Linked DNA regions of Pelodiscus sinensis. The protein of the gene in region 1 purifies or fractionates together with the protein of each later gene. This does not show direct contact. Links are inferred from orthologs where the notes say so. Each region holds a gene or a part of one and is shown in the gene's direction. Other genes may lie near its edges.

Region 1 (7,098 bases):
ACCTCCAAGGCTGCATGAAGCAAAGGGTCAGCACCGCAGAGCTCCTTGCGATCAGAAAACAGCCTGCCCTTGCGGTGGCATTGCCTTAGCAGCCCTCCAGGCACAGCAGTGGCCAGTACAGTCCTCTGCTGATCCCAGCCAGCAGACACTCCAGGAAGGCGTGAAGCCCAGCAGACAGGCTGTCGACAGAAGCCAAAATGACTGTGGAAGTCACAGACTCAGGAAGGGCAAAGGGACACAGCACTGGGAGAGGGAGTGACATAATGCTTTGCCACAACCTCGTCTTCTCACTGACGTTTATATAACACCCTCTAAGCAATCAAACGTGCATCTGCAATTAATTTGTCTGATCTTTTCTCCTCTGTGTGCGCGCATAGTCGCTTGGCACTGCAGGGGTGTGTGGGAGCACTGGGCATCTCAGGCTGGTGTGGGCTTGGATGGTTGTTTCTGAGCGCAGCCTTTATTTTTAAAAGAAAAAAATAGTACTGGCCAGAAAGCAGCGAGACCTCCTCACAAGGGGAATCAAATTGCAAAGCCCCCGTGATCCCAGTTTATGCATGGCAGCCTCTTGTTTTCAGAAACAACAAGAAGTCCCATGGTACCTTAGGGTATGTCTACACTACAAAGTTAGTTCGAACTAACGGACGTTAGTTCGAACTAACTTTAATAGGTGCTACACTAGCGCTCCGCTAGTTCGAATTTGAATCGAACTAGCGGAGCGCTTAGTTCGAACTAGGTAAACCTCATTTTACGAGGACTAACGCCTAGTTCGAACTAGCTAGTTCGAACTAAGGGCTGTGTAGCCCTTTAGTTCGAACTAGTGGGAGGCTAGCCCTCCCCAGGTTTCCCTGGTGGCCACTCTGGCCAACACCAGGGAAACTCTATGCCCCCCTCCCGGCCCCGGACCCCTTAAAGGGGCACGGGCTGGCTACGGTGCCCGTGCCAGGTGCAAGCCTGCCAGCACCCAGCTAGCAGACCCTGCACCTGGCACGGCACAGAGCCACCCACCCGATGCCCCCCAGCCCACCCCCTCTTGCCGGGACCAGGCTGGCGGCTCCCGGGAGCTTGCCCTGGACCGCAAGAGGCGGGCACCTTCCTGGGCTAGTGCGGACATCGTGGACCTCGTCCACGATCTCCGCACTAGGCACAGGAAAGTGGCCGTCTAGGGCAGGAGAGCTGCCAGCCTGGCCACCCAGGACCAGGTGTGCATGAAAATCAAGGGGGTCCACTGAGACCCCCGACCCTGAGCCCTGAGCTTACAATGGCCGTACTGGGTCAGACCAAAGGTCCATCTAGCCCAGTAGCCTGTCTGCCAACAGCGGCCAACCCTAGGGACCCTGGAGGGGATGGACCAAAGACAATGACCAAGCCATTTGTCTCGTGCCATCCCTCTCCAGCCTTCCACAAACTTTGGGCAGGGACACCACTCCTACCCTCTGGCTAATAGGACTCCATGGACCCAACCTCCATGACTTGATCTCACTTCCCTTTCAACTCTGTTCTAGTTGTAGCCTTCACAGCCTCCTGCAGCAAGGAGTTCCACAAGTTAACTATTTGCTTTCTGAAGAACAACAACTTTCTCTTACTAGTTTCAAGCCTGCTACCCATTCCTTTCCTTTGGTGTCCTCTAGTCCTTCTTTATGGGAACTCAGGAAGAACTTTTCTGAATGCACCCTCTCCACCCAACTCCTGCTTTTAGAGACCTCTATCCTGTCCCCCCTCCATCTCCTCTTTTCTAAGCTGAACAGTCCCAGTCTCTGTAGCCTTTCTTCATCTGGGACCTGTTCCCAACCCCTGATCATGTTAGTTGCCCTCCCCTCTCCCAGCCTTTCTCTTCCCCTCTCCCACCTCCTTTTCCCAGTCTCCCCCAGTTTTTTTTCAATAAAGACAGAGTCAATGTTGGAAGAAACGTTATCTTTATTTTGTACATCAATAAGAAGGGGGGCTAAGGAAGGGTAAGTGGAAGGAGGTGAGGGAGGAATGGGGTACGAGCCCCCGATGGGGAGGACTGGGCTGGCTCTGTGGGCTCCTCACGGTGGAAGCTCTCCTGCAGCCCCCCAATTACTCCCTCTCCGCAGATGGCAGCCTGCGGCAAGTGCAGCTGGGCTGATGGCCGAGTGGTGTGATGTGCCCAGTGTGGGCACTCAGGGCACTCCAAGCCAGAACTTCTTTGCAAGCGGGGCACCCCTTAGAACTGTGTGTCCGGGGTGGGGGTCGGGACCCTTTAAGCGCAGCCCTCGGCTAGCCTGAGACAGCATCTCCATGCTCTAAGTCCTCCTTTTATGCCCTGCCGGCACTGCTTCCGGCCATCCTTAAGCCCTGTTCAGAGTCCACTCAATGTGGACTTGCTAGTTCGAACTAGCAAAACGCTAGTTCGAACTAGTTTTTAGTTCTAGATGCGTTAGTTCGAACTAGCTTAGTTCGAATTAACTAATTCGAACTAAGTTAGTTCGAACTAGCGCTGTAGTGTAGACATACCCCTAGAGACTAACCAAAATAGATAGAAGCACATGAGCTTTTCGTGGGTAAAACCCACTTCCTCAGATGAATTGGAGTGAAAATAACAGAAATCAAGAGATCAATGTAACAGCAGACGTCTCTGTCAATTGTAAGGCCCAAGTTAATGAGGCTAATTAACACTGGTCATACATAGCTTTTGATGTGGAAATGCAGATGCTAATGGCAGGGGAAATTGGCTTAGGCCCAGGGTAACAAAGCCATTAACTGGTTGAAGCATTACAAAGCCAATTTCTCCTGCCATTAATATCTGCATTTCCACATCAAAATCTATGTATGGGACACATCCAGCCCACTTAATTAGCCTCATTAACATGGGTCCTACAATTGACAAGTACTACTTCTACTATTATATATATATCTTGGTTTTTGTTATTTCCACTCTAATTCATCTGCTGAAGTGGGTTTTGCCCACGAAAGCTCATGATTCTATATATTTTGGTTAGTCTCTAAGGGTATGTCTACACTAGCTAGTTAATTCGAGTTAGGTAGGATAATGAGGGCGACCGGAGTTGCAAATGAAGCCCGGGATTTAAATATCCCGGGCTTCATTTGCATGTTCCCAGGTGCTGCCATTTTTAAATGCCCTGTAGTTTGAACTCCCTGCCCGCAGCTACACGCGGCATGGGCTAGGTAGTTCGAATTAAAGCTCCTAATTCAAACTATTGTTACTCCTCGTGGAATGAGGAGTAACAGTAGTTCAAATCAGGAGCTTTAATTCGAACTACCTAGCCTGTGCCGTGTGTAGCCGCAGGCAGGGAGTTCGAACTACGGGGCATTTAAAAATGGTGGCGCCCGGGAACATGCAAATGAAGCCTGGGATATTTAAATCCCAGGCTTCATTTGCAACTCCGGTCGCCCTCATTACCCTACCTAGCTCGAATTAACGAGCTAGTGTAGACATACCCTAAAGGTATGTCTACACTTGCACCCTAGTTCGAACAAGGGATGAAAATGCAGGCATTCGAAATAATCAGTGAAGCGGGGATTTAAATATCCCGCACTTCGTTAGCAAGATCTCACCATGCACTAGTTCGAATCACAGCTGATTCGGACCAGGACATGCACACCGGGACGCGTTCGTTCTAACCAAACCCCTTGGTTTGAACTAACGTTACTCCTCATTTATTGTCACTGACTTAAGAACGATCAATCAGTTTCTGCTGGCAGTTCTGAGAGAGATTTTGAAGGGGGTGAAGCATTCACCTTCAAGAGTGTTGTCCAGTTTTGGGGAGTGGCTGTTTTTGGATGTCTGGCTCCAGCCATCCAAGCCCTCATCTGGAAAGAGCTGAGGACCCCGCAGCTTCCTCATCCCTGCTGACACTGTGGGTGCTTAGCACCTCTGTGAGTCAAGCCTTGAGCGTCTCCTAATGGGCACTCAGCACTTGAGAACAGCTGGTTTTAGCCAGTAACTGGATCCTGAACAGCTGCCAGGGTTTCCCTTCCAGGGTACAGGGCACTGCCCGTATCCCTGGGGAAGATGGCGCAATCCACTCTCATGAGGTCACTGCAGTTGTGTCTATGACCTCGTGGGGCTCCGGGCTGCACAGAAAGACCGCCTCCTTGTTTACATCCCAAACCATCAGCCGTGCGGGAGGAAAGTCATTTCCCTTGACTGCCAACATCCCAAAGGGCAGTGGATGGAGACAGCAAGATGAGCGGGCAGGGCGATGGCATGAGGAAAACTCCAGCAGCTTCCGGGAGAAGTTCCCAGGCAAGGGCAGATGTGCAATGCCATGGATGTCTGAGATTCGGTGTCAGTGGCCAAGGCTAAGGGCTTCCCTGCCAGTGCAAAGCCTGGTTAGCGATTGCTGATCCTCAGGGTAGAAGCTGCTATAGAAACACCAGGTCAGATGGGTCACTGCCCCACAGTCCCTTTGTGCTGGCCACGTTGCCACAAAGGAGTGAGAGAATAGGTGTATATGAGGTCTCTGTGCCTACCACTGGAGCAAGAACATCTGCAGAAGACCCCCTCCACTTGCACTCCTTCCCAGTGCAGAGGGCAGGCTGGGGGTGCACTGGAGGAGGGAAAAGGCAGGGCAGGTGTAGCAGAAGGAGTTGGAGCAGCCCTGCATTCTACTGATTCTTGGCTGCCATGATCCAAGAGGGACTAAATTGTCCTAGTCCAGTGTTTCTCAACCAGTGGTACCAGTACCCTTAGGGGTACTAAAGAGAAGTCTGGGGGGTACGTCCACACAACTGAAATTTGGAGAAAACTGAATTTTTGTTTTAAGTTTTCTTATTTTTGTACTTTTTACACCCAAAAATGTCATCGCCCCCCCGGCTACCATTAAGTTGTTTAAACAAATGTGTTGCAATGGTAGAAAAAAATTGTCTCTGAAAACTATAGGTACTGGGGGTACTTATAATTTTTTTAAAGGGTACTTTATAAAAAAAGGTTGAGAAACACAGTCCTAGACTATGCTAGGGACTAAATTGACGCTCCAATATCACATGAACAAGGAATATGCAATCTCACCTCCCGAATGGCCCTAGTGCTGGTGCAGAAATGAATTCCCAGGGGTAACAATATGGCAAATGAAATTTAATGTTGATAAATGTAAAGTAATGCACATTAGAAAAAATAATCCCAACTAGACATACAATATAACGGGGACTAATTTGTCTACAACTACTCAAGAGAGAGATCTTGGAATCACTGTGGATAATTCTCCAAAATAATCCACTCTGGCTGTGTCTAGACTGCATCCCTTTTCCGTAAAAGAGATGCAAATTAGACACATCGCAATTGCAAATGAAGTGGGGATTGAAATCCCCCCCGCTTCATTTGTATAAACATGGTTGCCACTTTTTTTTCCGGCTCGGAGCTTTGCCAGAAAAAAGCGCCAGTCTAGACGGGTATCTTTCGGAAAATAAAGCCTTTTCCGAAAGATCCCTTATTCCTTATTTTAAGAGGAATAAGTGATCTTTTGGAAAAGGCTTTATTTTCCGCAAGATCCCCGTCTAGAATGGCGCTTTTTTCTGGCAAAGCTCCGAGCCGGAAAAAAAGCGGCAGCCATGTTTATGCAAATGAAGCAGGGGGGATTTAAATCCCCGCTTCATTTGCAATTGTGATGTGTCTAATTTGCATCCCTTTAACGGAAAAGGGATGCAGTCTAGACACAGCCTCTGTGTGCAGCAGCAGTCAAAAAAGCAAGCAGAACATTAGGAATCCTTAAAAAAGGGATAGAGAATTAGACAGAGAATATCTTACTGCCTCTATATAAAACCATCAGAGCCAGCTCTATGGAGCGTGGGGCCCGATTCCTGGGACGGGGCCGCACATGCGCGGGGCCCCGGGCGGCATGGCGCATGCGTCGCACACCAGAGGCACGACGCATGCGCTGTGCGTCCCAGATGTCACGATGCATGCGCAGTGCCCCGGGAGTACAATGCATGCATGGCCCCCCCCCGGGCACATGGCGCATGTGCCATGCGCCCGGGATGTCACAACGCATGTGCCGTGCGTCCAGGGGCCCCACGCAAGCGGTGTGCTCCTGGTGCACTGCGCATCCGTCGTTTCCCTGGGCACGGGACCCCCTCAGGCACAGGGCCCCACACTGGGGAATCGGCTGAATTGGCCTAAGGCTGGCCCTGAAAACCATGGTACGCCCCCGTCTTGAATACTGCATACAAATGTGATCGACTCATCCCAAAAAAGAAATATTGGCATTGGAAAAGGTTCAGAAACGGGCAACAGAAATGATTAGGGGTTTGGAATGGGTTCCACATGAACAGGATTCACCAAGTGACGCGAGCCCTGCTCGCCAGCCACGCGGTTTGGCACACTGCGCATGCGCAGATCGTGCTGCGCATCCACTGAGCACACTCTGCGGCTGTGCCGACTTGTAATCAACTCGCCATGAGCGAGTAGATTACACGAATTGTCGAGCCCTGCATATGAAGAGAGATTAAAAAGACTGGGACTTTTCAGCTTAGAAAGGAGGAGACTAAGGGGAGTATATGATAGTGGTCTATAAAATCATGACTGGTGTGGAAAAAGTGAATAAGGAAAAATTTACTTGTTCCCATAAGAACTATGGGTCACCAAATGAAATTAATAGGTAGCAGGTTTAAAACTAACAAAAGGAAGATTTTCTTCACAGAGTGCACAGTCAGCTTGTGGAACTCCTTGCCAGAGAAGGTTATGAAGACCAGAACTTTAACAGGGTTTAAGAAAGAACTAGATAAATTCATGGAGGTTAGGTCCATCAATGGCTATTAGCCAGGATGGTAGGAATGGTGTCCCTAGGCTCTGTCTGTCTGGAAATGAGTGACAGGGGAAGGATCACATGAGGATTACCTATCAGAGGGGGAGCCGTGTTAGTCTGAATCTGCAAAAGCGGCGAGGAGTCCTGTGGCACCTTATAGACTAACTGAAGTGTAGGAGCATAAGACACTGACGAAGTGGGTCTTTGCCCACGAAAGCTTATGCTCCTACACTTCAATTAGTCTGTAAGGTGCCACAGGACTCCTCGCCGCTTTATGAGGATTACCTGTTGTGTTCCCTCCCTCTGGGGCATCTGGCGCTGGCCACTGTCAGCTGATACTGGATACTGGGCTAGGTGGACCTTTGGTCTG
Region 2 (7,271 bases), on another chromosome or scaffold:
CATGTGACTCCATCTTGTAATTTTCCACAGTAAAAACAGTGGGATTGTCTCCACTTGCAGAAGCTATTAAGCATCTGGAAACACCTCCATTTTGCCTCCTTCCTGTTTAAATCTCTGGACTATGGACTTATCCCAATGAGAGCATTCTAACAAAAAGACTGAGGTGCTTCCAATTATTTAGGAGCAACCAGAGACTTGACTTAAGCTTGCAGTTTATTCCATCACTGCTATAGCTTGAACTAAGAACGCTGCAATTATTATACGTATTTGATTACTTTAACCAATTTTAACTCTCACCTTTCTTTCAATAAATAAACCTTTGGATTTTAGATATTAAAGGACTGGCACAGCATGATGTTGGGGTAAGATCTGAGTTCTGTACAGGCAGTCCCCGGGTTACATGGATCCGACTTACATCGGATCCCTACTTACAAACGGGGTGAGGCAACCCCGCACTAGCTGCTTTTCCCCCTAGCAGACCAGGGAGACGCGAAGCTAGCGCCCCACCCAGCAGACCAGGGAGACGCGGAGCGGCTTCTCTCAGCAGACATCTCAGCTTGAGAATAAAGGACGGAGGGAAGTGAGGTGTGGGAGAATAAAACTGAGCTCTGGAGAAATGTTTGGCTAGAGTTTCCCCTACAATATGTACCAGTTCCGACTTACATACAAATTCAACTTAAGAACAAACCTACAGTCCCTATCTTGTACGTAACCCGGGGACTGCCTGTATTGCCCTGGGTATGTGGCTGGTCCTTTGGGATCAGAAGAACTTATTTGATTAGACTGGTTGTATAGATCCACTTGCCTTTAAATTCAGTGGTTTTTAGGGTGATAGACTGGAATGCCTCCGTTAACTGTTTTTTGACTTCTTGTTAGCCATTGAGGTGAGAGAGACATTTACTTTTGTGGCTGGTTTGGTATATGTTAAGGGAGAGTAATCACCAGCATTTGGGGATATATTTGCCCTATTTCTCAGCAGCATGACCTGAATATAATATTCTCAGTTGTAATGCAAAAATGCATGGTTACAATGGCTCTCTGGGTATTGTATGTGGGGGAAAAACAAAAACAAAATATTTTCCCAACTATGATTAAGTATGACAACAATGTACATAAGGAACAACTTTTTGGTATAATTTACTCAGAACTTCCAACAAGCTCCTGAGGGTATGTCTACACTACCCCGCTAGTTCGAACTAGCGGGGTAATGTAGGCATACCGCAGTTGCAAATGAAGCCCGGGATTTGAATTTCCCGGGCTTCATTTGCATAAACCGGGCGCCGCCATTTTTAAATCCCGGCTAGTTCGAACCCCGTGCCACGTGGCTACACGCAGCACGGGGTTCGAACTAGTCGGGATTTAAAAATGGCGGCGCCCGGTTTATGCAAATGAATCCCGGGAAATTCAAATCCCAGGCTTCATTTGCAAGTGCGGTATGCCCACATTATCCTTCTAGTTTGAATTAGGAGCGTAGTGTAGACATACCCTGAGAGAGTTCTTTTCACTGGATGATTAAATAACTTAATAGTCACAGATCAGAAACTGTCTAAGGCAGAGGTTCTCAGTATTTTTCTTTCTGAGTCCCTCTTCATCCTCCCCCAGCATGCTATGAAACCTCCATGGCTACCTGTGTCACAGAAACTGGTTTTTTTTTTCTACATATAAAAGCTAGGACCAGCATTGAAGAGTATAAGCAGAGCACCTGCCAGGACCTGACACCACAGGGCTCGGGCAAGGCTCAGAATCCTGGTGTCCAACCCCAAATACTGGGGCTTCAGCTTTCTTCCCTGGGCCCCGCACCTCTAATGCCAACTGTGCTTGGCAGACCCTCTTAAACTTGCTTGTTGGCTCCTTGGGGGAACCCAGACCCATGGTTGAGAACCACTGGTCAGAGTGACAGAAAACAAAAGTAGGCATAGTTGGCCAATATTCATCATGGCAAAAGTTGTTAGGACCTCAAAGCATTTGCATTAGAGTAATAAGTGGTATTTAATATATTCTCTTATCTGATTAATGGGGTGGCACAAGCCTCTCACTAGTGCCCTCTTCTGGTTAGGTTTGTCTGCAGTCTTTCAACCCATTGATGGTTTCTCAGAGTTTTCCAGAGACAGCCCTTTGGCCGAGTCACATGTACTGTGTATTAATCAGACCAGATCACTTTCAGGATGTACAGTCCCTTGGGGAACCATCTCAGTACTCCTTGGTTGGTGTCTTTCTAGTCCTTCCCAGACTCCCTCTTTAAGTAGTCCCACCTTGGTAGGACTCCCAGGACTTTCTCCCTGGAGCCACTACCTTCCTGTGGCCCTCCTTGGGCTCAAACCTTACTTGGTCCTAGCAGCCAGCCAGGAGCTCCTTTCTTGCTCCTCCAGCAACTATCTTGGTCCCAGCAACCACCTGGCCCTTGCTGGCACCTGTCTTAGGCTTCATCCTAGCAGCCAGCCACATGCTCACTTTTTCCCCTGGTTCTTGCCAGCACTGAGCTGTCTGTAAGGAATTCTGAAGGGACCTACAAAAGTCGGTCAGCATAATGACAGAATGGAATGGAATTTTAAGTAAATGTAATGTACATCGGAAGAAATTGTTTATTCATACATGTAATTGGATTCTAGATTAAATGTGGAAATCTTTCAGGTAAAGAACCTGTGCATCATTCTTTAAAGACAGATCAGTAAGAACATTTGTTCACTGGAAAGTAAGCAAATGAAACATTATCATATGTAAGCAATAGGATGGAAAAAATATACAGAACATATAATATCACTAGACGACTTAACTGGTGTTGCCTGGGTGCTTCAGGGCAAGGGGTTGGCAGCGTGCAGGATTCAGGACAGGAGGCTATAGGCATGGGTGATGCAAAAGTCAGGCTGGGGGTGAGGAGGGGCTCAGGGCAGAGGTGCAGGAATCAGGGCAGAGGATTGGTAAGAGGGGGAGCTCAGAGGAAAGGGATGGGAACTCAGGAGGGGGGGCAGGGTCTCAGGATGGGATGGGAAGGGCTGGCAGCTTCTCCCCAAGAGTGGCAGGGGGCACAACACCCACCCTCTTTTTCCTTGAAGTGGGGGTTGGGGACGACTGTGCAACCTGCCCTCTAGTTTCTCCTTGGTGGCCAGGGGCAGGAAGGCCATGCACCCTGTCCGCCATCTCCTGGGCAGACAGACAGATGCACATTTCTAAAATATATAGATTATGTCAAACACTGGTATGTGTTCACCTTGAATATTTGAATTCACTTTAGGTCACTTTTTAGGGCTTTCTCTAAAAACGAAAAGACCAAAGGTAGATGATAGAGCATGTAAAATCTTTTATCAGGAGCAATTGCAACTGTTTCGTTTTGAGAAAGGATAATAAAGAGGGGACATTATAGAAATAAATAAAATAATAAATGGGACACAGAAGGTAAAATAAAAACAATCATATTTCTGTTATTACAAGAATAAGGGAACAAAAAGGAAATGGAATTGTAACAAACTGAAATACTTTATCTCATCAATCCACAATTAGCTTGTGAAACTCATTGCCACAAGATATCACTGATTCTAAGTGTGAGTAGGGAATTTACCCATTCTGTTCTAAAACAAATTCCTCACACTGTAGAATAAAAACTATCCCCTTGGGTTTTGGGCTTTATTAACAGAGAAATTAACTACAGTGTAATTCAATTCGTCCGCTCCTTGGGTCCCTACTTCAGGACACTCTGGCTATGTCTACACAGCAGTGTTATTTCAGAATAAACTGATGTTATTCTGAAATAACAAAGAGCACCTCTACACAGCAAACCATTATTTCGAAATAAGGGCAAGGAGAAGGACTTCTTACTCCAATTCCTGTAACCCTCATTTCACAAGAAGCAAGGGAAGTGGAAGAAAGAGCATTCCAAAACCTGAATTAAGCTATTTTGACTTTAGCTATGCAATTGACATAGCTGAAGTTGTGCAGCTTCATTTGACTTTTGTCCTGCTGTGTGGACTTGCCCTCTGTCCTCTCTAGTTACAGAGCTACTCCCTTGCCTTGCTCATCCCAAATGCCATGACCTGAGTCACCTACTCCCATTGTTGTGTGTAAGCCGTGCACACACTGAACACGTTATGAAACGAAAAGGCCCAGCAGCAGCAGTGAAGGGGAGCGCAGGGAGGCGCTAGCAGGCTGCTGGGGGCTCTAGCCGCTCCCTGTGCTGGCTCTCCCATACACCACCTCTATGAAGACCGCTCCAGCTTGCGGAGGGGCGGGCATGCTCTAGGAACTACAACTCCCAGCAGGCAGCGCGGGTCTTCACCGCCCCGCGTTCGGAGGAAGCCGAGCGCGCGCTGGTCCAGGCGTTCACGCGGGAGAGTTGTATGGGCCGCTGGGGAGCCGATGCGTCCGGCGGCGGCGGGGCGGGCCCTGGCAGCGCTACCGTTCCGTGGTGAGCGACGGTTTAAGGGGCCGTTGGTCTCTCTGTGAGCAGCGAAGTCCTCTGTGGGTGTAGCACGCGACCGCCCTGCGTCTGTGTTGTGGGCCGGGCCCGGGGGCAGCTGCCAAATGCGCCCGTAGCATTATGGGGAGAGGGTACCGCATAATGAGCGCGGGGGCAGTTTCTTAGCAACCTGCCCCTGTCACTGGTTTGGGGTCGCTCACTGGGGGTGAGGGCAGTGACGCGCTCGTGCTTCCCTTCTCTTCCTGCGTATCCTCCCGTTGGGCCGGGTAACGGCGCTGGTGGAACTAGTGGCGCCTGGTGATTGTGTGTCACCCCGTATTGTTTCCTCTGCTCTCTGGGGAGGTGGCTCCTCCGCAACAGCTGATGGGGAGATGTGACTATCAAGATGGGGAAATTGCCCTTGTAGTGCCTTGTAGTGCCAGTTCACACCTTTATTCAGGCCTAATTTGCTTGTCTTGAATTTGCAAATGAATCGGAGTTGAGCTGTTTCTAACTGTTTTTTTTTAAAAAAGGAGGATGGCTACTTTTAAATCCATTACTGAATGTCCAGGGAGGTTCAAATATTCCTCTGCTGTACAGTATTACTATGTTACTTTTCTTGATGTCTGATTTGTGTCTGTTTATCTTCTGGCACAGAGACTTCCAGTTTGGCCAAAATTGATGGCAGAGGGGCATTGCTGGCACTTGATGGCATAGATCCTATTAGTGGATGTGCAGGTGGATGAGCCCCTTGATGGTGTTTATGTTCATTGATGTTATTAATAGAGGGAGAGAGCTTGGTCTTCTATACCACCATATTATGAAAACATGTCTGAGTTTTCATAACATAGTGGTAGAAATGCGTGAGCTTTATCCGTAGTGGAGCTTACCTACTACTGGTGCAGCTGCTGCACTACAAGTACCAGTTAGTATTTTACCTGTGTAGAAAAGGCCATATTTTATAGTGCTTGGAAGATGCCAATACTAATAGTTAATGTATTCAAATTTTAGATCAGAAAATACCTTTTTTTTTCTGTTTACTTGGAAATTTCTTTTGTTGTTGTTTAATTACCACTTAACAATGGTGATATGTTTGTTTTGGGATATAGCTTGGGGTGGGGAGGGGAAGCTAACCAAATTATTATAGAAGTGTATGATTATGCAATGGGGAAAATGAAGTCAATGATGAAGCATTTTTTGGCTTATTTTTGTTCAGATAATGGAGTCTCTCAGTTCCACTAAGGCTCAAAAGTGTGAATCAAGAACACGGGATGAAAGTGAAGATGACATTGAGTTTATCTCTGTAAGTAGATATTGACTCAATAACTATAGATACTTTTACCAGTTAACTATGTAAAATGTTCTAAGAATTGAATATGTAATGTTAATTATCTCAGCTATATCTTAAATTATTGATATAATTTTAAAAACTCAAATTTTCAGAGCATATGAAAATACTACTTTAATCTTTGCTTTCAAAAAGCAGCTTAATTCTTAAACTAAACTGATCTGCCTCTGTTAAGAAAATCTGCATTAAATAGAGTTTTGCTTTGAGGCCAGAGTCCTATAATGACATCTCTCTAGGTGGGCAGGAGTCTCCTCAGTGGACTCTTCTGAAACACAAGGAGCCTTAGCACACCTCATTAATAGTTGGTGGTTCTGTCCATCTCAGCTAAAGTTGAATAAGAGAATCAATGGAGCAAAGCTAGCTTTTGTCAACACACGCATGTGGATAGACTGGGGGTCATATTCTGATATTCTTGATACAGTAAAATGGAGCATTACTCTGAGTAATCCCACTGTACTCAGTCAGACTACTTGTGAAGTCAGGTGTGCAGCTCATTGTGTAATGGCACCACAATTTCACTTTGTATTCTCTGATAGAGATAGGGGAGATGAATAGGAGTAGAAGTCAAATAGCAGTTTAGTTAGGATGTAGAGTACTGTTCGACACACACAGTTGCAGAATGGATTATAGAATGCTCTTGTGTGGCTTCTGACTCAGAATCCCTCCTGTAATGTCAAATTTTTCACAAGACTCTGTCTTCACTGTCATGTAATTTATGTATGTACATAATACTGATGCCTGTTGAAACCTGAACACAACTTTTAAAAACGTGTGTTGCTAAATTTTTATGAGGAGAGTGCGGCATGTGTAATACTACATGGACATGAACCTAAATTCTTTGTCGGTGAAGCAGTCCTATGACAGAAGGAAATATGGAAGAATAGAGGGAAATCTTCCTTTTTAGGACAGCTTTCAGCTCTTACTACATTTAAAAAGCAGAGCCACAGTGGTCTCAGACCCAGCACGAGCTTGGACTGCTCAGTCCCTGCTTGTGCCACTGCCAGGAGATAACCCCCTTATCAGCTAATCGAGTAGTTGATGGAAATTCCATCGATTTCTCAATTAGCTTATTAATTGCTACTTAACATTCTTAATATATAGAGAGAGTAATAGACATCTACTAGCCAGAGGCTGATAGAAAATGGAAGGGGCAGAAGTGTGCCAGTAGTTATTGGGGCAATGATCATGTGAAGCCCAGCCCTACTATTCCAATAGCTTCTTGAAAAGAAAGTGCCCCTGGGAGTTCTTAGAGGCTGCTCCAGGGCTCCACCTTTTTACCACTGTCTGGCTGAGCAAAGTGCAGCTGAGTTTTTTCCCTCACTGATAGGATTCTGGATAATAGCAGTGGAATTAATTAGTTTAATTTAAGTCTGATGTTCTGGGGAAAAGCTGCAAGTAGCTACAGACACTCTCACAGCAGCCTGGAGATTGAAAAGATCATCTTGCAACATTTTAGATTAAAAAGCCTAAGACACTTATAAAAAATGATCTGAGATTCGCCAGAAATTAATGTTTGATGTGCTACATATGTAA

The links.
Region 2: the proteins of TOP2A (region 1) and ZNF451 purify together in Homo sapiens (affinity purification with mass spectrometry; 3 studies listed by BioGRID and IntAct, with this or other methods). This does not show direct contact. The link is inferred for Pelodiscus sinensis from reciprocal best matches to the Homo sapiens genes TOP2A and ZNF451.

What each region holds. Positions count from the first base shown.
Region 1 is NC_134739.1:10,730,898-10,737,995, forward strand, and holds the start of TOP2A (DNA topoisomerase 2-alpha), read left to right. Parts: upstream 1-4,082; 5' UTR 4,083-4,171; coding exon 4,172-4,231; intron 4,232-7,098. UniProt on the Homo sapiens protein: Key decatenating enzyme that alters DNA topology by binding to two double-stranded DNA molecules, generating a double-stranded break in one of the strands, passing the intact strand through the broken strand, and religating the broken strand.
Region 2 is NC_134713.1:44,287,659-44,294,929, forward strand, and holds the start of ZNF451 (E3 SUMO-protein ligase ZNF451), read left to right. Parts: upstream 1-4,265; 5' UTR 4,266-4,399; intron 4,400-5,606; 5' UTR 5,607-5,609; coding exon 5,610-5,693; intron 5,694-7,271. UniProt on the Homo sapiens protein: E3 SUMO-protein ligase; has a preference for SUMO2 and SUMO3 and facilitates UBE2I/UBC9-mediated sumoylation of target proteins. Plays a role in protein SUMO2 modification in response to stress caused by DNA damage and by proteasome inhibitors (in vitro).